Linked DNA regions of Bombyx mori. The protein of the gene in region 1 purifies or fractionates together with the protein of each later gene. This does not show direct contact. Links are inferred from orthologs where the notes say so. Each region holds a gene or a part of one and is shown on either strand. Other genes may lie near its edges.

Region 1 (8,299 bases):
TAAAAAAAGATCAGGGAAGAAGAAAGTTACCGGAATTGATAGTTTCGACCAATCTGCAATAAAAAGATGTATTCATAATTATCACATAACAAACAGCGAACTTCCTACCGTCGAAAGACTTCGTAAAAAATTGAAAGAAGATATAAATTTTAATGGCTCGGAACGAAGTTTACGACGAATTATGAAAGAGCTAGGCTTCAGATGGAAAAGAACAGAAAATAATCGGAAGCTATTAATTGAAAAAAGTAATATTCGACTACTAAGGATCGAATATCTCCAAAAAATAATTAAATATAGGCAAGAAGGAAGACCGATAGTGTACACCGATGAGTCCTATGTCGACTCATCACATGCAAGTGGTATGTCGTGGTCAGATGGATCAACTGGGGGTTTAAAAAAACCAATTTCGAAAGGACAGCGTGTAGTAATAGTGCATGCTGGCTCCGAAGATGGATTTGTTCCCAATGCCCTTCTTTTGTTTAAAGCTGGCACAAAATCTGGTGACTACCACGATAACATGAACTATTTGAACTACGAAAAATGGCTGCGTTGTCAATTGCTACCAAATCTGCCACCAAATTCCGTTGTAGTAGTCAACAATGCGTCATATCACTATAAACAGTCTGACCCCGCTCCAACTGCCAATGCCAAAAAAGTCTATATGAAGAAATGGTTACAAGAAAAAGAAATTCCATACGATGAAAACATGTTGAAACCCCAGCTTTTTAGCTTGATTAAAGCACATAAGGAACAACACAAAACATACAGCATTGATAAAATTTTATCAAACCACAACCATTCAGTGCTTCGCTTACCTCCATACCATCCAGACCTCAACCCAATTGAAATGGCTTGGGCAGCTATTAAAGGGTATGTCAGTAGCAAAAATGTCGACTGGAGCACTGGCAAAGTAATAGAGCTAGTGAAGGAAAAGGTCGCGGTGATGGGTGCTCCGGAATGGGGTAGAATATGTCAAAAGATAAAAGATATTGAGGCGGAGTATGTAAAAAGTGATCATGTGGTAGATTTAGTCACTGATGAGTTTGTAATTTTTGCTGACGATGATTGCGACACGGATGAAGAAAGTAGTGATGATGATGATGATGGTCATGATTATGATAGCGAAAAAACAATTAAAAATACCAGCTCAGCTTCAGCTGATCCAAGACCTGGCACCAGCTCCTAGTTTTGACCTAATGGAAGGAATATCTATTTTACCCCTAGATTAAATTACTACAATTATTAACCTGTATTTTTTGTTCATGTACTAATAAATATATAAATAAATACATATTATGTTGTTTTTAATAACTTAACATTTTTGTACGTAATTGTACGATGCGCGAACTTACCCCCACTACGTCAACTAATGCTCAAGAAGTTTGCCGAGTATTAAGCGAATAGGCAGGTGCAGGTAGGGAAAAAAATGAAAAAATATTTATTTCTTTGTTTACTATGTTTGTTTTTTTAAGGGATTTTATGACCTGGTAACTAAGACCTTTAGGTCAAGTCTTATTTTAATTTTAATGATAACTTTTTTATATGAAAAATGATATTATTAAATGAAATGAAGTTGATTATTGTGAAACATGGCATGAAATGAAATGAAAACGAAATGAAATGAGAAAATATGGGATGAAATATAATCTCAGTAAAATGGTGGTCATTTACTAAGATTTTTCAGTGGACTTTTTGGAGGATCCCGAGAAGTTACGTCCAGCGGCTTTGTTCCATTTTCCCACATTTGTGCACTTTCACAGATATTAAACTGCTAATAAACCACCATTATTACACATTTAAACCCGAAGAAACACTAAATAGACAAAATATAACAAATCACACAATATCACTCCTCGCGTTCCCGCCAAAAAGTCTGTTTTTCTATGTTTGGGAGCTTAATGCACAGATTAGCTAACTCAATCCATAAATAAAATGTAAAAAAATATGCCATTTATTTGCTTTACGGCTCACTGAATTTGGTCCCCTTTTTTAATTTTCGATTTTTTTAATTTTTAATTATTTGTTCGTCGTTTGTTCGTTAATGTTCGCGCGTAACAAAAAGGTAGTAAATACGGCCGTCGGCCATTGCCATCTGACTGACAAAACCGGCGCATGCGCAATGTAGGCGTGAGGTGATAATTTGCTTATTAGATATAAAATAATTAATAATTTCGAATTTACTTGTTTTTATGATCGAACAATCACCAATAGTCGTCGAACAAACAATAATTGATCAAAATTAATTAATCTGAGCAATAAAAACAAAGATATCTAGTAAGAGGGGCCAACTGAAGGGTGATCATTTGTTTAATTAATTATAAATAAATAAAAGACGAACAGATAATTTTACATTCAAACATTGACGATCAAACGACGAACAAATAATTAAAAATAATCCTCGGTTCCCCTCCAATGTCCCGATGATTTTTTCTTTTAAATTTCCACTCCTTTTTTTACGTATTTTTTTCTTCAACAAGACAAGCCCTCTTTTGAACAAAACGTTTTATGGTTTAAGTTCCCTTTGCGGCTTAATTAAACAAATCCAAAAACCATAGATTCTACACACAAAATAACAATCCAAAGCATAGATTATACACTTAATATAAAGCTTAAATCAAATTGGTGATTTAAAATAAAACACATTTTTTATTATTATTTAATTTTTCTCTATTTTAGCACATAATGGCTGACACAACTGGGAAAGAGCAATCAGTTACTAAAGTGCCAATGATATATGTTTGTGGAGGTACAGTGTAACCAAATAATAACAAAACTTCTATCACTTTGTAAAACACTAACACAAAATAACCTAATAATTGTTAGGTATCAGCATACCCCAATAATTGAATATTTTTTTTGTATTTCTTTTTCTCTTGATTTATGAACATTTTTTATAGAAAAAAGAAAGAAACTACTTTTAAAATGTTCTTACCGATAACACTAAGCTTGTCAATGTCTACTAAACAAAGAATTAATAAATCAGTTAATTTGTCTTTTGTGTATAGTAGATTATAAAATTATTCACACTGTCTTATAACATTGTATAAATTAAGGCGTTTTGTTTAATGTGTTATTGTTTTACTATATTTCAAATGGGGAATGCATCTGTATAAATATAAATGTTCTTTAGTAAAGCTAAAAGCCGTAAAAGCTTAAGTGCTTTTAATAAAACTTGTTAATATTAATATTAAAATTTAAAAAACCTAAACTTAAAAGTATTAGAAAAATGAAATTGATTCAATTGAGAGTAAATTATATTGTTTGCCCTTTTCTACATTATTGTTTTTGCCGATCATCTACTTCAACTGTTTAAATGTTGGTTTCTTTAATAAATGCAATCCTGAAACTATAATATGGGTCTGCAAAACAAATGATGCTTTCATTATCATTTTCAGAATGTCACAAAGAGAATGAAATCAAACCAAGAGATCCTATTAGGTGCAGAGAATGTGGTTACAGAATAATGTACAAGAAAAGAACAAAAAGACGTATCCTTTTGATTCTATAAATATATTCTTAAAGTAAAGATTATAGGACTAGGATACAGCCTAGTGATTTTAATCAGTAGAAAGGTATTGACAGGTATCACCCATATTTAATTCCTTCATTGTGGAAGTGATTCGTGATCACATTTCGAGAGTATATTTCTTTGGATATTGGTATATGCAATTTGCACATTTGCATGGTTGCACAGCTTGACACAACTACACCATCTGTTTTATCCTTTAGATCACATTGAGCTTGCAAGAAAATAAATGTAATAAATGAGTCGACTATTATCAAAGGCGGCAATCTGACTTTTGGACAATGATTGGTAAATCAGAAAAACGAATTATTGACTTTGTATTCCATTGGCAGTCACAAAACTCTTCGGAACGACATCTTAGATAAATAACAGGTTAACTATTAACCTTTATTTAATGCAGGTTTTGAACCGTATTCTTTGAAGGAGACGATTATATTCAAATAAATCTGTATTGACATATCAATAAAAAAAAATTGTCCAAATGTACAGATTGCCACCTTTGATAATAGACGACTCATATCTGTTAAAATCTTCAGAAAATTACCCTTTTTGTAGTTTGTGTTGATTTTAAATTCATCATATTTTTGTTCGTAATATTCTGAAAAATTTTCCTTAAGTAAGAATTCAGTGGTTGTGTTTGACGCTCGGTAAACGAATTCTGGAAACAAAACCCTAGAAGATAAGTTCGGTGGATACATCATGCACAGAAGAGTGAAATAAATTTATAATAAGGTTAATGTGTATTTTTGTTACTTTGTCTATGCTCTAATAATACTGACCAATGAAAAAAAATATATACAAGGTAGTTTTTTTATAGTAGATTTATAGATCTACATCATCACTTTACATTATATACTGGTGGTAGCCCATAGACATTAAAACATGAATGCCACCTACCGCCATGATATATGTGTTCTAAATTGTACCCAATAGATATAAGTAATCTGAATGATTTGAAGTATCAATCAACTTATTTGATGTTTCTAAATGAACTACTGCCTTAAAAAAAAAAGACTTAAGTGCAAGAAAAATATGTAACTTTATAGATAGATATCAAATGAGTTCATTATCTTTTTTTTTTATTGCTTCGATGGGTGAATGAGCTCACAGCCCACCAGGTGTTAAGTGGTTACTGGAGCCCATAGACATCTACAACGTAAATGCGCCACCCACCTTGAGATAAAGTTCTAAGGTCTCAAGTATAATTACAACGGCTGCTTCACCCTTCAAACCGAAACGCATTACTGCTTCACGGCAGAAATAAGCAGGGCGGTGGTACCTACCCGCGCGGTCTCACAAGAGGTCCTACCACCAGTAATTACGCAAATTATAATTTTGCGGGTTTGATTTTCATTACACGATGTTATTCCTTTAATCGTAAACATGGGTGGCGGCATTTACGTGTGACCGTTGGCCAGTTTTGCACACGACACCGCTAGTGGCGCCAGACGCAAAGTGTCAATATGGAGTACTTTCGTAAAACTTCCGTTAAATAATAACAACTAATAAAAAAAACAAAAGGGAAATATCTCAGTGTATTTTAATTATGTAACTTCATCATTATAAAGTTTTAACAATTTATTAAAATTATTACCTCTCATAATAAAACACCAGAAAATGTATGTCTAAAATTTTACAATAGCCACAAATATACATTTTTTTTCGATCCATAAAAACTATCAATAAATAATTGTTAGGACTCACGACATTAATATCAAATTTAATTTTTCACACATTCCTCTAAGTCAACTTTTTGCTTACGTTATATAATAGTGAATATAAACATGCTATGGGTATACACATGCATAAAGAAAATTTGAATAAAGAGATTTAATTCCATTCTATAGTTACCAACTCACTAATCATAATCAAAAAGTTTATAGCACATACAAATAACATTCTTGGAAACAAAATACAAAATCATGACAGTTTATGATCAAGTAACTTTACATGTTCTGTCTCGAATTTATATTATGTCCCAATTAGAGAACTATACAGATGACGTAATAAATTTCAATTTATCGGTAGTTGAAATATAAAAATTACATAGAAAAATATCAATTAAAAATCATTTTAAACTTGAAATAACTAAATGATTATCTTTAAAAAGCTTATATTTCTATTCGCAAGTGTTTTGAAAATAATAATTATGTATTTATTTAAAATCATACTAGTGGCTAACAGAGGAGATAATTTCATTGAAAAACTAATATGGAAATGAGCTATTTGTATTCTGTAAAATACGCATTTAAATATGTATTTATGGCTTTGCTGAATTAGTAGAGTTGACTTTAGCTACCTATTGTATCACAGAGTCCTCTTTAAATTCGAAGTCAGCTTCTTCATTAAAAACATTTGGCATTCGAGGACTAAATGTACATACATTTGTCATGTTTAACTTTCAAGCACCCATTATAACAAAGGGGAAAACCCTAGCTTGGGGACGTTTAATATGAAACGTTTAGTACCGAACCATTGAAATTTTATTAGATGGATTTAATCAGTTAGAACAACTTATTATTGTAGATAAGACCGCTTACAGGCCACCTGTGTGCTTAGTGCGAGCTTCTGAACGTTCTCGATAACGTAAAAGTTAAGCCAATTTTGTATGCAATTGGAACCGCCCCTAGCGGCAAACGTACGCAAGCGATCCCATTCCATACAAATATGACCTAACTTTTACGCTATCGAGAACGTTAAAAAAACTCGCACTAAGCACACTGGCTTAAATGGAAAAAGAGCCGCTCGCACAACAATGGAATAGCAAAGAATTGGAAACAATTTTATTGGATAGTGCGAGAATTATAACGTCGGATCACATTTTTGAGTAACATATCGAATTTTGATTTTGTTATTTAAATTGTAAACGGTTTGATCTTATAAGTAATGGTAAACAAGGGCAAGTAAAATTGATAGAGTCCCGTCTGTAATGAGAGATGAAAGGATGGATCATGTATGATTTAAAATAATGTGAATAATGACAATACCAGTAAATAGGCATTCAATTGAAATTATATTGAATATTATCATTTTTCTTTCATGCCAATCCGGAATTGGATTAATATTAGAAACATTATTTGTAGATGTGAATTATTTAAGTATGCATGTTATTTTGTTTAAAATATTTATTTTTTTATTTACCGCACTTTATGTCGCCTCTCGAGACTGATACGATTTATCGTTTCCGCTTGAATGTCTATTTCAACAGTTTTTTCAATTAAAACGTATAGCAGATTTTTTGTATAAGTTTTAGAATTAGGAGCCTATAATTATAAATCATTGATTAGCGTCGATGCCTTTCTGTTGCTATAAGCTTCTTGATCATAATGGTAGATTTAGGTTTTTATCGATTATGTACATATATATTTTAATAGATAGTTATTTATTATGGTGGTACTTAAATACATTTTGTACCTTAATAATTATGACAGTCCCGTGATATGATCAGACACAAGATATTTACAAAAATAACTAAGTAGTTTGTTTTTGAAAATTGATATTCCAATATGGTATAGTACAATAGTAGTATAAGGCGCAGTGCAGCAACCCAGTTCGAAAATATTGTAAAAATGTTATTGTAAATCTACATCGTTATTAAAATAGTTTATACAATATATTATATAACAATATAAGACATATATATACTACAATAAAGAAACATAATGATGATATCATATATTTTAAAAATTTGAATTTGATTTGATTGGTATTATTAATAGTGATATTTTCGAACAGCTTGTGGTCTGCAGCTTCAATGAAGCTTAATTTCATATTAGCGCCATAAAGCTTAATTTCTAGAAAAATAGTTTAACAATGAATATATATATACTTTTCAAATAACAGTACATTATATATAAAAAACTAGGCTCTGTAACCTATCCCTTACAAAAAAGACAAAACATGCAGATCATTGATCATTCACACTAATAATTATTTTTACATTGGACTATAAAAATTAAATGAATAATAGTAATGCATAATAGTAGGAATCAAAACTATACTACTATTAATATAATTTTTTTAAATCGGAGAGCCCAGCTTAAACATGTATACAAATTGATTATAACTTTAAAGAAACTAAATTCAATTTATTTCCGTACATTTTTATGGAAGACATTTTTGTTTTTTATTCATATCTACGTTTAGTGTATGGAAGTTGATATGCCAATTGTTTTAAATTTATGGAAGTAGTAGTTACATAGTATAAATATGAAGTGGTAAATATGTCATACAAAAATTCATACAAAAGTGCTGTTCTATTCTATATATCATCCGACTACTCCTATGACAATGTAATATGTTTGACTGATATTTAAGCGTAGTTTAAAAAATGTGGACCTCTTTTTTTTCTGTCGCAATAATATATCCCATCTAGGTCTTCGTTTTCAAATACAATTCAACAAATATTATCTCTGTAGAAATTACAAATAACAGTATTAATACATAATAAGACTTACATTAAAAGCAAATTTAACAAATTTAATATTACGTGGAGATATTTACAAGATACATATTAATATTTTTCGAATTTTTAATGTTAGAGTATGTTACAATCTTAAAGCGTACAATTGTTTTCACACGAATCTGAGTAACCCCAGCTTTAATAATTACACTTAAATTAAAAACAAAATAAAACTGCACATTAAAATACACTATGTACGTAATATAATTTTGGCACTAAATATCTGTGGCACTACAGTTAACACGTGTTTCCATTTCTTGATCTTCATTACCTTCACTTGTTTTTCCATTACTGTTTTTTTCACTAACACA
Region 2 (8,763 bases), on another chromosome or scaffold:
AGATCGCAGTTTTAACATTACGACGGCTTTCCCACCTTTCAAACCGAAACGCAGTAGGTACTGCTTCACAGCAGAAATAGGTAGGGTGGCGGTACATAACAGCTTCACGAATGAATTTCTTCATCCCATAATATCGTATAATAAGAATCTATGCTATCAAATTTATAAATTTCCGTAATTCAAACGATACGTTAAGATACATAAATAATAATATATCCTTGTAACCTATATACATACCATAATGGAATTTTCCTTCTAATAATCCCGCTTTTCCAGCTAAGAGCTCAATGGTTTTTCCCACTGTCATTCTAGATGGGAAGCCGTGGGGATTCATGATCATGTCAGGACATATTCCTCTGTCATTAAAAGGCATATCTTCTTGTTGCACAATCAAGCCAGTTACACCTTTCTGACCGTGTCTAGAACTAAACTTGTCACCGATCTCTGGAACTCTGGTTTGCCTTAATAAGATTTTTATCAAGAAAGCATCTTCGGAGTTTGAAGATACCATAACCTTTTCGATGTATGACTCAACTGGCCCTTTGTATGTAACTGGTACATCTTTGTATTCAATTTGTTGCGGTTGTCCTTGAGTGACGGGATTTATCGTAGCCGGCGGCATCTGTTTGTTTATTAAAACTTGCCTATTTTCAACCATTTCACCTGGAGCTGCAATGCCGTCAGAATCCAAAACATCATGAGTTCTAATTACTTTTCCTGTAACTGCATCTCTCGAAGGTCCCAAAATTCGGTCCGATGTTTGATTGCTGTACCGCTTCATTGTTGTTTTCGCACTTTTATAAACTAGACAACGTCCATATCCTCTGTCAATCGAAGCTTTGTTTAGAATCAAAGCGTCTTCTATATCATATCCACTGTAGCTCATTACAGCGACAGTAGCGTTCTGACCAGCTGGCAGTTTATCAAAATTTATCAACTCAATAGTTTTAGACTTCACCATTGGACATTGAGGATAAACAAGGTTATACATTAGAGTATCGATTCTGTTTTTTTGATTGTACCCTATGGTTCCTAAAAGATTAAATAATTAATTCTGTGAATAAACTTTAATTATAAATGATGTAATTTCCAAAATATTTCAGACTTACCCATTGCTTGTTTACCCATAGCACATTGATATGTGTTCCTAGGGCTCTGGTTGTGATGTGGATATGGTACTAAGCCTGCGCACACACCTAATATCGTAAAAGGTTCTATTTCTAGATGAGTAGTGACGTACGGATCAATATCTACTTCACGTGTTGCTATATGACTGTCATTTTCTTCATTTACATCCAAATATTCTATAAGACCATCATTTAAGAAATCTTGGAATTTTCTTATACCTCTATTTAATTCATTTAAATGAGATTGCTGCACTAAGGTATTTCCTCTTTCTACGATTATGTACGGTCGACAGAGCCTGCCGCCGTCACTGCAGATATAAACGGTTCTTTGGTTATGATTGGGATATATGGAGACAAAAGCTGAAATCAATCCTCTTCTCCTGAACATTCTAAAAACTTTAATCAGCCGCTTATACTGTCGAGAAACGCCCAGTATGTTACCTGTAACGGAAACAAACTATAAGTACAGATAACATTTTAATGAGTTTTTTTTTTAAATGTTTTTCAAATACCATTAAGAAAGACAATGTAAACAGCAGGATGATTTATTTCTTCTCCGCCTAGCAGCCTTACGTCTTCAACTCCAGCATTACAGGCCAACTTAGCAATAGGCTCTTCAGAACACTCTGTTGTAATATGCGTCATAAGTGCTAAATTCTTAACAAGACCGCATGCTTCTCCTTCAGGAGTGTCGGAAGGACACAGCATACCCCACTGTGAGGCCTGTAATGACCGTGGTCCAGACACTTTTCTGGTCTTCTCGAATTGGGAATTTACTCTTGTCATCATACCAAGTGCTGATATATAACTGAGGCGACTTAATACTTGTGTGACCCCGTGCCTTTCCATTTTAAAGCGCTTAATTGTCCAATTGCCCTAAAATATTATATCTTATTAGCATGGTATAATGAGTAATTAATGCCCATAAGAAATCGATAAACTGTACTAACACTAGAGATGGCTGTAAACAGTCCATTAGCAATCAAATCCGGTCTCATATGCTTCACAACATCAAAGGGGGCAGCTTTAACTTTAGGTATTATTTTATCGGCTATACTCTTCAATTCCCAGTTGAATCTTTTGAATAAATCTTCAAACATAAGTGCCAATAAAGACCCCGCCAATTCAAGCCTTTTGTTCCCATAGTAATCTGGATCGTCTATTGCAGTTTTATTTGTTTCGGCTTCAATTACCCTTTTCACCATTATCGCAAGGTAAATGGCCTTTACGTAGAAATTGTAATTCTCAACCGATACGTGAGCTAATATAGTCGTAGCTAATAGTTCACGAGCGTCATCAATTGGTGAGCGTACTTTTGTGTTTCCACCTTGATACCTTTACATTTAAAACAAAAATAGATTTTAATAGGTACTGTATGGAAAATGTGGAAGCATTTAAATATATGTAATGGCAATGGTTAAGGTTTAAATGTACGTTTATTTTTTAACTATAAGCATATTAGATCTATCAAACGGTATTTTTATATGAATGCTCGCAAGGGATGGAAGACTGTAAGTACACTTTCACTGCTGAATTGGATTTATTTCAACTTCTCCCGCGTTCTATATAGATATCTTTTTCCAGGCCCAATTTGTCATATACTGGACTACTTTCCTTGGACATATTTTCTCTATCTCCTCAGCACAAAGAGCGTACTTTATCACAATTTAGCATAGATTTTTAACGAAATTAAATTATGAACGCGTTCAATATATTATTAGTCGCGAACATTTAAAACAATTAGTAACTATTAAGTAATTTGATTACAAAAAAAGCTTACAGAAACAGCGGGGTAGTAAAATATTTTTATTTATATATGCACTAAACAGTGATAAATTAGATGTAAAATGAAACCTTACCTTTTTACTTTTAGTTTACTTCCTATATAAGTCAGAGCTTGATTTTGAGTAAATATTTTCAAATTATGGCAATCTAGAATACAAGGTGCCATTTTTTTTATTGTATTATCGTCAGTACCTACAAGCTGCATTATTTCTTGATCACTACATATGCCCATGGCTTTAAAGGCGACAGCTATTGGAATATCCTGAATATAAAAAAATACAAATTAGTGGAAACTACATAATTGGAAATTATTTATTTTAGCTTTTGAAATAGCTTTTGTAATTTTGAAGGGAAGAAGTCCAATTCAAAACATATTATGGTTTTATTTTTATTTTTTATTGCTTAGATGTGTGGACGAGCTCACAGCCCACCTGGTGTTAAGTGGTTACTGGAGCCCATAGACATCTACAAGGTAAATGCTCCACACACCTTGAGATATAGTTCTAAGATCTCAGTATAGTCACAACGGCTGCCCAACCCTTCAAACCGAAACGCATTACTGCTTCACGGCAGAAATAGGCAGGGTGGTGGTACCTACCCGTGCGGACTCACAAGAGGTCCTACCACCAGTAAAAAATACATATATAGCTTTGATTATTGTTTGTTAAATGAAATTGATTTAAGTAGTAACATACATCAGACAATGCATTATGTCTGAGCACATATTTTCCATGTTTAAGAATCACATTCGTTCTAGTTTTCTTCTCATGTGTGGAACTTGTAACCTGACATTGTACTGCTCCTTTGAATTCATCAACAATCATTCGATTTCTAGAGAGTTGCTCTTGAATTAAAATCACCTTTTCTTGACCTACAGACAATAAAAATTGTTTTTCATTACTCAAGTAAACTACATATATATGTACTTATACAGGTGTCCTGAAACTCAAGGTCAAGCGGGTACGGGGCTAGGTACTACTCGTGCAGGGAAAAATAAAAACAAAAATACATTTCATTTTAAAAACCATACATCCATTGAACTTCTATTAAAGGGGCTGCATAAATGAAAAAGCGTACATGAAGCCAATATAAAACTAACTGAATTCACTCCATGTAACTGTATGCAATAGTGATCGAATAATAAAATATTGTCACTCTTGAAATCAAAACCAATAGTGTTCGGATCCCAAAACTGTTTTCTTTTTTTTTTAGAAATTTAGATAAATTTTAGCATATTTTTTGGCTATGCTACTCAATCAGATCATCTCTTTGAACGTTCAAACGCAGTTATTTTTACAGTATCGTTAAAATGATAATTTGAATTTGATTGTCTTTAACTTTGTTTTAGAGCACTGTTAATAAATGTGTTTCATTAAAACCATATTATTTTGTCTAGAAACCTAGCTCATAACTGTATATTCACAGAGAACTCAGTATTTCATTCATTTAGACCACAAAAAAAAACCCAAATGTAGTGTGAAATGCAACCTTAATGTGGTCAATGTTAGGTTATTATGCTTTAAGTCTTGCCAAATTTTTTATTCTATGTATTTTTAACTTAAAGTTTTTCTTTATATTTATTTATTATATTTCTTTATATTATATTTATTTAAATTTTCGTTTATTTTTATTCTGACTAAATATAAGGCTCCCAATGTACTTTACTCCAGATTAACAAATTAATAAAATTTAACTTTATGATTACAATTATTACACATTTAAATATTTTATGTACATTTTACATTTATATACATTGGAGTTTTTTTTTAATATTAGTTGTATAAAATTAAATTGGTTTCTTACCTCTTATAATAAAATAGCCTCCAGGATCATGGGGACACTCATTTAACTGTGCAAGCTCAAAATCCGATTTATTAGTAAGAACGCAGTTTGAAGACCTAAGCATGAGGGGCATTCTGTAAAGAATCAAAATACAGATTTCAAAATGATATATGAGAGTGATGTTAATAATAGGTATATAATTTAATTACATTTCAAATGGCCAGTATTGTTAAACTTCATAAGCAAAGACCTAATGTTAAAGTAATTAAAGGAATCATTAACATGTTAAAAATTTGTGATACTATTACTTTGATATTGACACAAAAACTGTTTTTACTTTGACTACTTTATTAATACTTTGACAGACATGTGTCGTGAAGATAGGTAAAAGGCAGATGATGAACTACTTAAATTCCTACATCATCAATAGTTGCAGCCCATAAGTCAATCAATTTTTAACTGAGTTACATTGGGTGGGGTGGACAAACAATAAAACATAATTTCTCTGTCGAGCTTTTCATTGAATTGTTTTTAAGATAGGATATTTTCAATTGGGAGTACAGAATGTTAAATTCATTTGATATGTATAATACAGAATTTTTTAAAGCCTGGAATGTTCTGCTTTTTAGTGAGTAAGATCAAGATATAGTAATAGATCAAGCAACATTACATCTGCTAGTATTAGAATATGCATTTCTTCATTTATTTAAGATGTTACCTTCCAATCAGTTGTTTATTTTTGATCACCCTCTGGTTTCCTCTAATATATTCTATATCAACAGTTATAGGAGCTGAGTATGTTATATCTCTAAGACGACATTCATGAGGTGTCGTTGGCTTAGTGATATTGAACCCTTCTTCCAAGTCAGGTGTACCAACATAGGCATTTAAATATTTAATATAGAACAGTGGATCAGATTCACAAAATACTTTTTCATTAGCCTGTACTATCTTCTTTATCTCCACATTTATGAAGTAATTAAATGAATCTATGTGCTGTTTCACCAAACCTTTAACTTGAAGAAATGAAGGCACTAATTTCCATTTATCCTGAAAGAAAACATTCATATGAACAGTGTTAAGCTGAAATATTAGAAATTTAAGATAAAATCAGGACGTCAGTAAATTGTACTATTTTTTTCTAAGATTTTTATGATGTTATTCTATAAAATTCATACATTTTATTATTCAAATAATTATGATCATACTTTGGTAGGGTTTTGAACTCAACTGTATATTGTCACTTACAACTTTTGTTACTATACAATTGAACTTTGGAGTGATTAAATATCAATGAATGAACAAAATCTTAAAGACAGTTATATGATTTTGTTGTTTGGTTAGTAGTAATATTATAGTTCGTGTATTTTTTTTTCAATTGTGTATCAAAACAATAGTAGTAATTCAGAAAAGTAATAAAGCTAGTACCTCAAGGGTTTTGACAGGGTCCCGTAATCCTTTGGTATCCCACTCATTTTGTTTTTTATTAAGTTCGCCCATCATGTAAATTAAATAAGCTATTGTAATATTGAACTATCTTCGGCAGTAAATCATATTGTCCGTATTTACCAAGCGATGGAATCTTGGAATTGTTTTATAGAATGGAACAAATCAGATGAGTACATATGTAAACAATAAGTGCAATTTTTAACAACGAACAAACACGAGCACAATTCTGCACATTTAATTACAAACTTTAAACTCATAGATATTTTTTTGGTACAATTTTTCCTTTAAGAAAGGCAAGGGGATCTAAGCCCATACAGCGTGCCCATAAATAATTTTTAAATCCATCTATACTTTTTTTAAGGGATTTTATGACCTGGTAACTAAAACCAAGTCAAGGTCAAGTCTTATTTTAATTTTAATGAAAAGTTTTTTTAGGTAAATGAAAAATAATATTATGAAATGAAATAAAGTCGATTAATATAAAACATGGCATGAAATGAAATGAAATTAAAACGAAATAAAATGAGATGAGGTGATATGGGATGAAATATAATCTCAGTAAAACGGTGGTCATTTACTGAGACTTTTTCAGTGGATTTTCGAGGATCCCGAGAAGTTACGTTCAGCAGCTTTGTTTCATTTTCCCACATTTATGCACTTTCACAGATAATAGACAGTTAATAAACCACCGATTACCTATTTAAAGCGCCTTATTCACGATCCATCTTGCTGTACGTCCCGCCAAGGCCATGCACGATGCACGATGCAAAAGGATCATGAATAGGCTTGACGTACGTCGATAATTATTATTAATTGCGGCCTTGAGCTGACGTACAGTCGTGATGGATCGTGAATAAGGCGCTTAAACCTGAAGAAACTCTAAATAAACAAAAAAAAAAGGGTGCGTGTACTTATGTACGCGCGTAAGAAGTTAAACTTTATTTTTATTAAAGAACATCCTCAAACACGCATATTGGACATCCCTTTTCTTGACATCGTATAAATTCGGTAATTCTCGGTACGGTTCGGACAATACACGACGACCTGGGCCTTGAATCAATCCAGAAATACATGAAGTCAGCGTCGGAACGGTACTTCGATAAGGATATGCGTCATGATAATCGCCTTATCGTTGCCGCCGCTGACTACTCACCGAATCCTGATCATGCAGGAGCCAGTCACCGTCGACGCCCTAGACACGTCCTTACGGATCCATCAGATCCAATAACCTTTGCATTAGATGCCTTCAGCTCTAATACTAGGAGCAGGCTTAGGGACCCCAGTAACCGTACTCGTCGAACTCGACAAAGAGGTCGACGTGCAACCTAGCCCATGCATCAGCCCGCTGAGCTTCTCACCGGATCTTCTCAGCGGGTCGCGATTCCGATCCGGTAGTAGATTCATTCGCGAAGCAATTGCTCTTGAGTTGTTAGGTCTCCTTCGGAGGCGCTCGGGCAGCTGTTAGCAAATCCCACCCCTCCTGGCTGAGCCTTTGCTCGCCCACCTGTCCTGGTGAAACTGGAAAGGCCTTCGGGCCACCAGTAATCTCTCAATCATAAAAAAAAAAAAAAAAACGGTTCGGACATAACTCTCAAACACAGCCCACTCTCGCCGGATCTTCTCAGTGGGTCGCGTTTCCGATCCGGTGGTAGATTCCGCGAAGCACGGCTCTTGCTAGGGTTCGTGTTATCATCGTTGTCAGGTTTGAGCCCCGTGAGCTCACCTACTAGCCACGGTTACGCTGGAATAGCCGCTCCAGGCTACCAGATTAGGCAGGAAAAAAAAAAACGGTTCGGATCACTTCGACAAAGCGGCACGACACGAGAACCCTCTCATCGTGGCCGCCGGTAACTACATTCCCGATCCTGCGGAAAGAATGGAAAGCAGTCGACGTCGCCCAAAACACGTCATTTTGGATCCTTCCGATCCACTAACGGTGCTTTTAGGTACTTCAAGCACCGGTCACCGTTCTCGTCGAACCCGTCGCTTGCGACGAAGGGCTCGACGAGCAAATTAACCCTCAGACACAGCCCACTGAGTTTCTCGCCGGATCTTCTCAGTGGGTCGCGTTTCCGATCCGGTGGTAGATTCCGCGAAGCACGGCTCTTGCTAGGGTTCGTGTTATCATCGTTGTCAGGTTTGAGCCCCGTGAGCTCACCTACTAGCCACGGTTACGCTGGAATAGCCGCTCCAGGCTACCAGATTAGGCAGGAAAAAAAAAAAACGGTTCGGATCACTTCGACAAAGCGGCACGACACGAGAACCCTCTCATCGTGGCCGCCGGTAACTACATTCCCGATCCTGCGGAAAGAATGGAAAGCAGTCGACGTCGCCCAAAACACGTAATTTGGATCCTTCCGATCCACTAACGGTGCTTTTAGGTACTTCAAGCACCGGTCACCGTTCTCGTCGAACCCGTCGCTTGCGACGAAGGGCTCGACGAGCAAATTAACCCTCAGACACAGCCCACTGAGTTTCTCGCCGGATCTTCTCAGTGGATCGCGTTTCCGATCCGGTGGTAGATTCTGCGAAGCACGGCTCTTGCAAGGGTTCGTGTTAGCAACGTCGTCAGGTTTGAGCCCCGTGAGCTCACCTACTAGTTAAGGTTACGCTGGAATAG

The links.
Region 2: the proteins of DNA-directed RNA polymerases I, II, and III subunit RPABC4 (region 1) and DNA-directed RNA polymerase III subunit RPC2 purify together in Homo sapiens (affinity purification with mass spectrometry; 3 studies listed by BioGRID and IntAct, with this or other methods). This does not show direct contact. The link is inferred for Bombyx mori from reciprocal best matches to the Homo sapiens genes POLR2K and POLR3B.

Annotation. Positions count from the first base shown.
Region 1 is NC_085111.1:12,248,144-12,256,442, forward strand, and holds DNA-directed RNA polymerases I, II, and III subunit RPABC4, read left to right. Parts: upstream 1-2,489; 5' UTR 2,490-2,682; coding exon 2,683-2,746; intron 2,747-3,395; coding exon 3,396-3,488; intron 3,489-4,154; coding exon 4,155-4,177; 3' UTR 4,178-4,327; downstream 4,328-8,299. Other genes in the region: uncharacterized protein LOC119628526, read left to right, coding at 518-1,186; uncharacterized protein LOC101737452, read right to left, coding at 8,204-8,299. UniProt on the Homo sapiens protein: DNA-dependent RNA polymerase catalyzes the transcription of DNA into RNA using the four ribonucleoside triphosphates as substrates.
Region 2 is NC_085116.1:7,719,204-7,727,966, reverse strand, and holds the start of DNA-directed RNA polymerase III subunit RPC2, read right to left. Parts: upstream 6,425-8,763; 5' UTR 6,198-6,424; coding exon 6,123-6,197; intron 5,745-6,122; coding exon 5,413-5,744; intron 4,829-5,412; coding exon 4,716-4,828; intron 3,784-4,715; coding exon 3,608-3,783; intron 3,175-3,607; coding exon 2,987-3,174; intron 2,463-2,986; coding exon 2,078-2,462; intron 2,004-2,077; coding exon 1,640-2,003; intron 1,569-1,639; coding exon 1,110-1,568; intron 1,033-1,109; coding exon 238-1,032; intron 1-237. UniProt on the Homo sapiens protein: Catalytic core component of RNA polymerase III (Pol III), a DNA-dependent RNA polymerase which synthesizes small non-coding RNAs using the four ribonucleoside triphosphates as substrates.